Linked DNA regions of Mytilus edulis. The protein of the gene in region 1 purifies or fractionates together with the protein of each later gene. This does not show direct contact. Links are inferred from orthologs where the notes say so. Each region holds a gene or a part of one and is shown in the gene's direction. Other genes may lie near its edges.

Region 1 (3,936 bases):
AGAAGTAGAAGCGAAGAAACAAATAATGATGTATAACACCATCATGTCAGTTTATCTTTGTGCAGGGACTTTCTATAATAAGTATGATCAAGTATAGACTGTCACGGTTCTGTGTTATACAGTGGCGGATCCAGAACTTTTCCTAAGGGGGGGGGGGGGGGGGGGGTGACTGACCTAATGGGGGGCCCGCTCCAGTCATGCTTCAATGATTCCCTATATAATCAACCAAATTTTCCCGCGAAAGGGGGTCCCCCTCCCTGGATCCGCCTATGATTCCAAGGACGTATATTAGATGTTAGTTATACGTCCTTTAATAGTGGTAATTTTTGTATATAATTATTCAGTTTTCTATTAAATATTTGCTAACAGTGTTGATAAAATGTTTTAAAATTTATGAACAAACTAATTCTTTAATAAAAGCATCTGGGAGTAATATTATTTGTGAAGACCCAGAAAAAATCTTGAAAATGATATTATCAAATTATGGGGAAGTAACTCTTGATAATTTTTTCGATTTAAAGGGCAGGTCGCAAGCAAACGCTTTGTTTTGGTTCGATTTCGAAAGTGAGGCTATTCGCCAGCCATTCATCATTTAAATGAGTTACCGCACTTTGAGATGCGAATTCAGAGAAAATATTAACAAGTTGAAATTACAACATGTAATGAAAATTACTTTAAACCATAGAAAAGAAGAAATTTGATTTTTAAACCGGAAGTGCTTTTGCGTTGTTGAAGTATACTGATATTTCTATATGAAGATAACTTCAAATGCAAAATATTCTTAGCTTGAAAACGTGTTTGTTTTGAGAAAAATCATCGGAAATTTGGATTAAAGTGTGTTTGAAATTTCCTGATGTTTTGTCAACGGGGGACACATATTCGCCGTTTTTACACATCTATTTAAAACCAAATATCTGTAGCTTTAAACAATATTTATTAAATAAATTTCATTATAAATGAATAGCAGACATTTTGAAAGTGTATAAAACTGAAATTTAGGGCAATCAGTCAAAGAATTACTAAGATATTCTTCTTTGAAATCTTTTCTTCATTCAGGAAATTGGCTGAAAATCGTTGTCCGTTTTTCGGTCCATTCCTGTAAGTGCTGAATGTTGGTCTCATTTTCAAAAATAATCATATTTGTTATAAAAATATAATTTACCGGCATATATTTCTTCCATTTCTACCATCCTTTGAAGTTTTTGCACCTCAAAATCTTAAAACGGCGAAATTGTGTCCACGGCGAATATGACTGAGCGCCCCACTCTAGTAGAAGTAGAAGCGAAGAAACAAATAATGATGTATAACACCATCATGTCAGTTTATCTTTGTGCAGGGACTTTCTATAATAAGTATGATCAAGTATAGACTGTCACGGTTCTGTGTTATACAGTGGCGGATCCAGAACTTTTCCTAAGGGGGGGGGGGGGGGTGACTGACCTAATGGGGGGCCCGCTCCAGTCATGCTTCAATGATTCCCTATATAATCAACCAAATTTTCCCGCGAAAGGGGGTCCCCCTCCCTGGATCCGCCTATGATTCCAAGGACGTATATTAGATGTTAGTTATACGTCCTTTAATAGTGGTAATTTTTGTATATAATTATTCAGTTTTCTATTAAATATTTGCTAACAGTGTTGATAAAATGTTTTAAAATTTATGAACAAACTAATTCTTTAATAAAAGCATCTGGGAGTAATATTATTTGTGAAGACCCAGAAAAAATCTTGAAAATGATATTATCAAATTATGGGGAAGTAACTCTTGATAATTTTTTCGATTTAAAGGGCAGGTCGCAAGCAAACGCTTTGTTTTGGTTCGATTTCGAAAGTGAGGCTATTCGCCAGCCATTCATCATTTAAATGAGTTACCGCACTTTGAGATGCGAATTCAGAGAAAATATTAACAAGTTGAAATTACAACATGTAATGAAAATTACTTTAAACCATAGAAAAGAAGAAATTTGATTTTTAAACCGGAAGTGCATAAAAAACCGCGACCAGAAGCGGCGTGGAGATGGACGAAGAGAGCGGAGAGCTATTGTCCCAGGACATAATAGAGGTTTTGTGTTATAATTTTCTTAAATTAAGCTTAATAATTAGTCCACATTATTTCAAGAAGGTCTATTTGAATGTCTGATTACACTTTTCTGTGCGTCCAGGTGGAATCAATGCGGACAGCGTGTATTTTCGAAATCGTTAAAGGGCGACAACTCCAGCGCGGCATATATTAGAAATTCAGAAAATAAACAAAAGATTAACAGGTGCTGCATAAAAAAAGTACATTATAAACTAATTTCATTATGTTGTTTCAACACAGTTTCAAGTTAAAAATTGACAGGCAAAAAGCTCCTGGTATCATGATAAATAAAAAAAAGAAGTGGACTACTTGGGGCACTACTGGATTAGTCCAAATAATTATGGCTATTATAAATTTTGATGCCTTCCACCGACAGACGGAGAAAGGCGTCCAAGAAAAAATTAAAATAGCCTTGCACGTAATAATTATTTGGACTGGCACTGGATCTGCTTACCATTACAGAGTATACACCTTATCTCTATTTGTCCGCCCTTTGACATTGCAAAGGTTCCCCGTATTATTTTTTTTAAGTACCAATAGAAAATATGTGACAACATAATGAAAGCAATTGTTGTGTGACGTCAATAAATGCTATTCTGTCCCGGTTGGCCGCTTCAACTATTGACGTCACACAACAATCACTTTCATTTATGGTTGTCTTTTTAGAAAACTGTACAGGTTGTCTTACTTATATCTGCCAACTGTCACTATTTCCCCCCTGGAGGTTCCCAAATTGAAATTTTGAAGAGCAATTTTGTCCACAATTATAAACAACCTGTACCGTTTTCATTAAAAAGACAACTAACATGACTCAGTCGCCAAAAAATTATGCCAAGTCGAAAAAATATGAAATGAAATTTACGCTTTTATTCCAAATATAGAATCACTGTGATCATAGATTATTTTCAATTGGATGTAAAGTTGTCCCCATTTATGTAAAATCATACAAGTTCCCAATAAAGTTGACATCACAATTTAAAGTAAGTTTTATTATCAATTAACATGATTAATGAAGAATAAGAGTAAGTAGAAGTTTGGCTTCACTTGACTTTGAACAATCTATTTCTGTAAATTCACCAATTCTTTCATGTAAATATATGCATCCAAGGTTATCCTGCGGTAAAATTTCATTTGCATGTACAACAATTTTATAAAACATCTATAAAAAAGAAGATGTGGTATGATTGCCAATGAGACAACTGTCCACAAGAGACCAAAATGCAAGGTTATCCTACAGTAAAATTTCATTCGCATGTACAACAATTTTATAAAACATATAAAAAAGAAGATGTGGTATGATTGCCAATAACAACTGTCCACAAGAGACCAAAATAACACAGACATTTACAACTATAATTCACTGTACCGCCTTCAACAATGAGCAAAGCCCATACCGCATAGTTAGCTTTAAAAGGCCCTGATATGACAATGTAAAACAATTCAAACGAGATAACTAGTGGCCTTATTTATATAAAAAATGAAAAAAATGTATGTTTATCAATTATGTATGTTATTTTCTTTCAGGAAACCAACACAAAACAGGATTCTGTTTCAACAGAGATTAATGGAGATCAGGAAAACTGTTCTGTGTCCAAAGGTAACCTATATGCTCAATATATATAGATAATAATATTATGATTTTTTTTCACTTATTTCTTTAATTGGTTTAATTTTATTAGGCCAAACAAGATTTATATGTGGCCTGTCTCCAGACAGTCTAAAATAGGGGAAGCAGCTGGTCAATCAATTTTGTTTTGCTTAACTGCAAATGTCTAAAAATTGTTAGGGTTAGGCATTGCAATTTATGGGAAGTTAATTTGTAAATGTAGGGAGACGGGAAACTGAACTATGTTTTGC
Region 2 (3,936 bases), on another chromosome or scaffold:
AATTTTATAAATTTATCTTTTCATTAAGCAGTGACATATAATACAATGATAATGTGTTATATGTCTCTGCTTTAAGTAAGGATGTTTAAAAAAAAAACCAGTATTGTGTATACATCATTTTACTATGATATGTAGTACCAGTATTTGCTGTTGATTAGTTTACAAAAAATATCGTCTTGACAGGCGAAAAATGCAATGTGACATGCGATTTTGGTGGATTGCTTAAAAGAATGCAGAGATAGCTTTCTGAAAACATACTGCCGAAATAAAATTTGTAAATAGGTTAATTTCTATTCGACCTTTTTAGAGGTTGAATGTTAGGGGTCATCCATAATTGTTAACCATTTTCCAGAGTGTACAAAACGTACACTTGGGGAGGGGTTTAAAAATCAACATTATTACCGTACGTTTTTTTTTTTAAATAAAAATAAAACAGTCAGATATGGTTCAGTTTATTTTCAATGCAAATGTTTACATTAACTAAACTATAATAGGCAGGATCTTCTTTTTATTTAAAAATGATTGATTTTTGTCTTGAAATCTGAAAATGGTTGATGTACACTTTTTGAGGGAGGGTGGGGGGTCTGAAAAAGTGTATGTTTTGTGCACTTTGGTAAATGGTTGACAATTATGGATAACCCCATTTAAAGACAGATTAAGAATTCATTTATCTTTTAAACGTATTTTTGTGTTTTTCTTGAACTATATAAAGCATCTTTGTAAACAAACGTTATTTTAAAAAATCCATTATAATCAAATAATTGTCAAAAATTCAATGAGTCAAAGTGGTAAGGGTGCATAAACGGCTAAATGGTACCAAGAAACATATCATTTGCGTTAGTAAAATTTGATAAATCTTCATTAATCAAGTTTTATTAAAAATATACTTCAAATATTTCAAAAACTTCTCCAAATAAATTACGACCCTGAATTCTTCAGAAAATTATATAAGCACACAAAATTGACAATCTTGTTTTGGACTGATCAAATCAAATTACAAGTTGCCGCGGATTGGTTTATTATCTTAGACACGCGCCTCGGTCAATCACTTCTGACACTTAGTTTATCACCTAGCTAATCCAATTATCTAATTAGATATACAATCGTCCGTATCTGTAGTGGAATTGATTATCTATTTGCTCCAACTTTATTATTATAATATTTTGAAGCAAAACAATACACTAATTTCTTTTTTCAAATCAATCGTTTCTCGATCATTAAGCATTTAATAGATGTTTTGTACTTTACTCGAATCTTGTGCTATCCTTTATTTTCTTTTTTCTCAACATTAATAAAACCAAGGATTTGTATAGTTACTATACAAATCCTTGATGAAACATTGAGAAATAATGTATGAACCAATACGACCATGGCCGAACTGGTGTATGGCCGAAACGTCTCGAAAGCCCCTAATACAAAGACACCATAGCTGTTTTATAGAACACACCAACTTTAGTATGCATCAAACGCGTCATTGAATCAGAATAGTGACAGGTCAAAATACAGACATTATGGCGGACGAACGAATGGATGAGTCTCGTAAAACCATGAAAATCACGGTTAAAACACCAAAAGAAAAGCAGGAAATGGAAATAGATACTAATGCTCATGTTAAGGAGGTAAATCTATCGCTAGGAAGTTATAGAATATCCCTGAAACCTCTCTACAATCCATACATAAGATTACTTCTCTCACTGCATATGTCAATAATTCGTTATCTAGAATGTTCTATTAACAGATTAAATCTACTCAATTGCTTACATCAGCTTATCACTTTTACTAGACATTTGCATTGCTCAGCTCCCTATATATTAATCATACTTGGGAGAGACTTCTAAAACGAATCACACCCTAAACCCAGGGTTGGAAGCTGAAGCAGTGAGGGGTCAATATACAAACTGTACAACCCTTTTAATTTTGTATAAATAAAATCATTACCTACTTACATACCTGTCAACTCACCCGTTTTTTGCGGGTGACACCCGTTATTTTCACCTCTCACCCGGGAGTTTTTCTTTACCCGGCGGGTCCCGGGAATTTCTAACATTACCCGTTTCACCCGGATTTCTGACCGGAATTGTTTCCGGTATTTAGAAGTAATGCGACCTTCGGTTTTATCGGTCTTTTTCAATGTAACCAAAAGTCAAAATGTAGGAATGTTTACCTGAGCTGTGAAATAGCTTCAGGTTATTCCTGTGGAAAAACTAAAACCACCCAAATAGTAAAGAGGGCCCTTTCAGTTGAAAATAACAAAGTGGTAGTTGAAAACAAGCCAAGATTTTTTGTTTTGTCAAAACTTGCTAAAACATTACTGGTTTTGCCAAACAGCAATGCAGACAGTGAGAGGGCATTTTCTTTAGTAAAGAAAATAGCTACAGAGTGTAGGGCTGATCTTAATAAGGATACACTGTGTGCTCTTCTTTCTTGTAAAATGAATACACATTTGCATTGCTATGAACTGAAACCAAGTGCAGTTCTTTTAAAGAATGCCAAGTCTGCTACTATGGAATATAACAATAGTATGAAATAAACTTGTATACATGTTCTAACTGTTTCATATACATATTGACTATATAAATTATATGTAAACATATTTTTGTTCTTCAATTGAGCCCGCAAAATGTCGTACGCGTTATGACCTGAGATTTTTTTTCTCAATGCAGGTCATGACCTGACTTTTCATTTTCAGAGGTTGACAGGTATGTACTTATCTTAATAGGTCATTTCTGGAATCATGTCTTTCACCGGAAAATAACGTCAATTTTGCACGCTTTTATGACATCATTTACCAGATAAAAGGCGCGCCTGTATCCCTGCTCTACAATGTATTTAAAGTTTCCAGCACTTTCATAATCGTTATTCTGTAGGGTAGTATAGAAATAATTAATGTTCCGTAAGTACATAATCGTGATTGCCGTATGACTGAGGGAGGGTGACCTGACCATCCATTTAGATTTTAATTTCCCTAATATTTTGTGCAGTATAAAAGAAAATATTTTCACCTGTTTGCTCAACATATGTTGGAAATTTCTATGCATACATTTTTGTCACGTGGTGATGGAAGTCACATGACAGATTCGTCAAAATCTTCAAATGTTTCAGAGTTATTATGCACTAAACCAAGAGTTGTAATTAAATTAAAAGTATGTTGAGGTCACATGTATTGCTTTGAGACTTTACGGTCATTAATCATTTCGTCCACATGTTGTTTCAGTTACAAATGTATATACCAGTGAGGCCTTGGTTGTTAGTGTTTGTTAGTGTCCCATTTGTGGTTGTGTCACCTTTACAACAGCATACATTTTGTACAGTTGGCGAGTACTACCATGTAGTCATTTTGGTCTCTTGTAGGGAGTTGTCTTGTTGGCAATCATACAACATCTTAATTTTATATATCTAAACTACATGATTTTGACCACTTGTCCCAATAGGCCAGTTCCGGGAAACTGTTTTCAGATGAATCTGTCATGTGACTTCCATCACCACGTGACAAAAATGTATGCATAGAAATTTCCAACACATGTTGAGCAAACGGGTGAAAAAGTTTTATTTTATACTGCACATAATATTTGGGAAATTTAAATCTAAAAGGATGGTCACCCTCCCTCAGTCATACGGCAATCTCGATTATGATTTTACCAGTCAGGGGACTTACTTAAATGAGTGATTTTCTAAATCACTGATTCAAGTAACATTATTTCCATAAAGGTTGAAAGAAAGAGTTGTCTTTCTTTAATAATCACCTATTTAAGTAGTACAAAATAATCACTAGAAGAAGTGATTTAATTTTACTGTAGCTTTAAATATAGAACACTAATGATCCAGGGACTAATTATGTTTCTAAACTTATCAGAACCAACATCTGTGTTGTCTAGGATGACCAGGTCATTTCAGGTGATGACCTTGTACTGAATCTAGGATAATGACATAAAAATC

What was found.
Region 2: the proteins of zinc finger MYM-type protein 3-like (region 1) and ubiquilin-1-like purify together in Drosophila melanogaster (affinity purification with western blotting; 3 studies listed by BioGRID, with this or other methods). This does not show direct contact. The link is inferred for Mytilus edulis from reciprocal best matches to the Drosophila melanogaster genes woc and Ubqn.

What each region holds. Positions count from the first base shown.
Region 1 is NC_092353.1:42,651,623-42,655,558, reverse strand, and holds the start of zinc finger MYM-type protein 3-like, read left to right. Parts: upstream 1-1,790; 5' UTR 1,791-2,016; coding exon 2,017-2,061; intron 2,062-3,603; coding exon 3,604-3,676; intron 3,677-3,936.
Region 2 is NC_092347.1:34,496,772-34,500,707, forward strand, and holds the start of ubiquilin-1-like, read left to right. Parts: upstream 1-1,448; 5' UTR 1,449-1,511; coding exon 1,512-1,619; intron 1,620-3,936.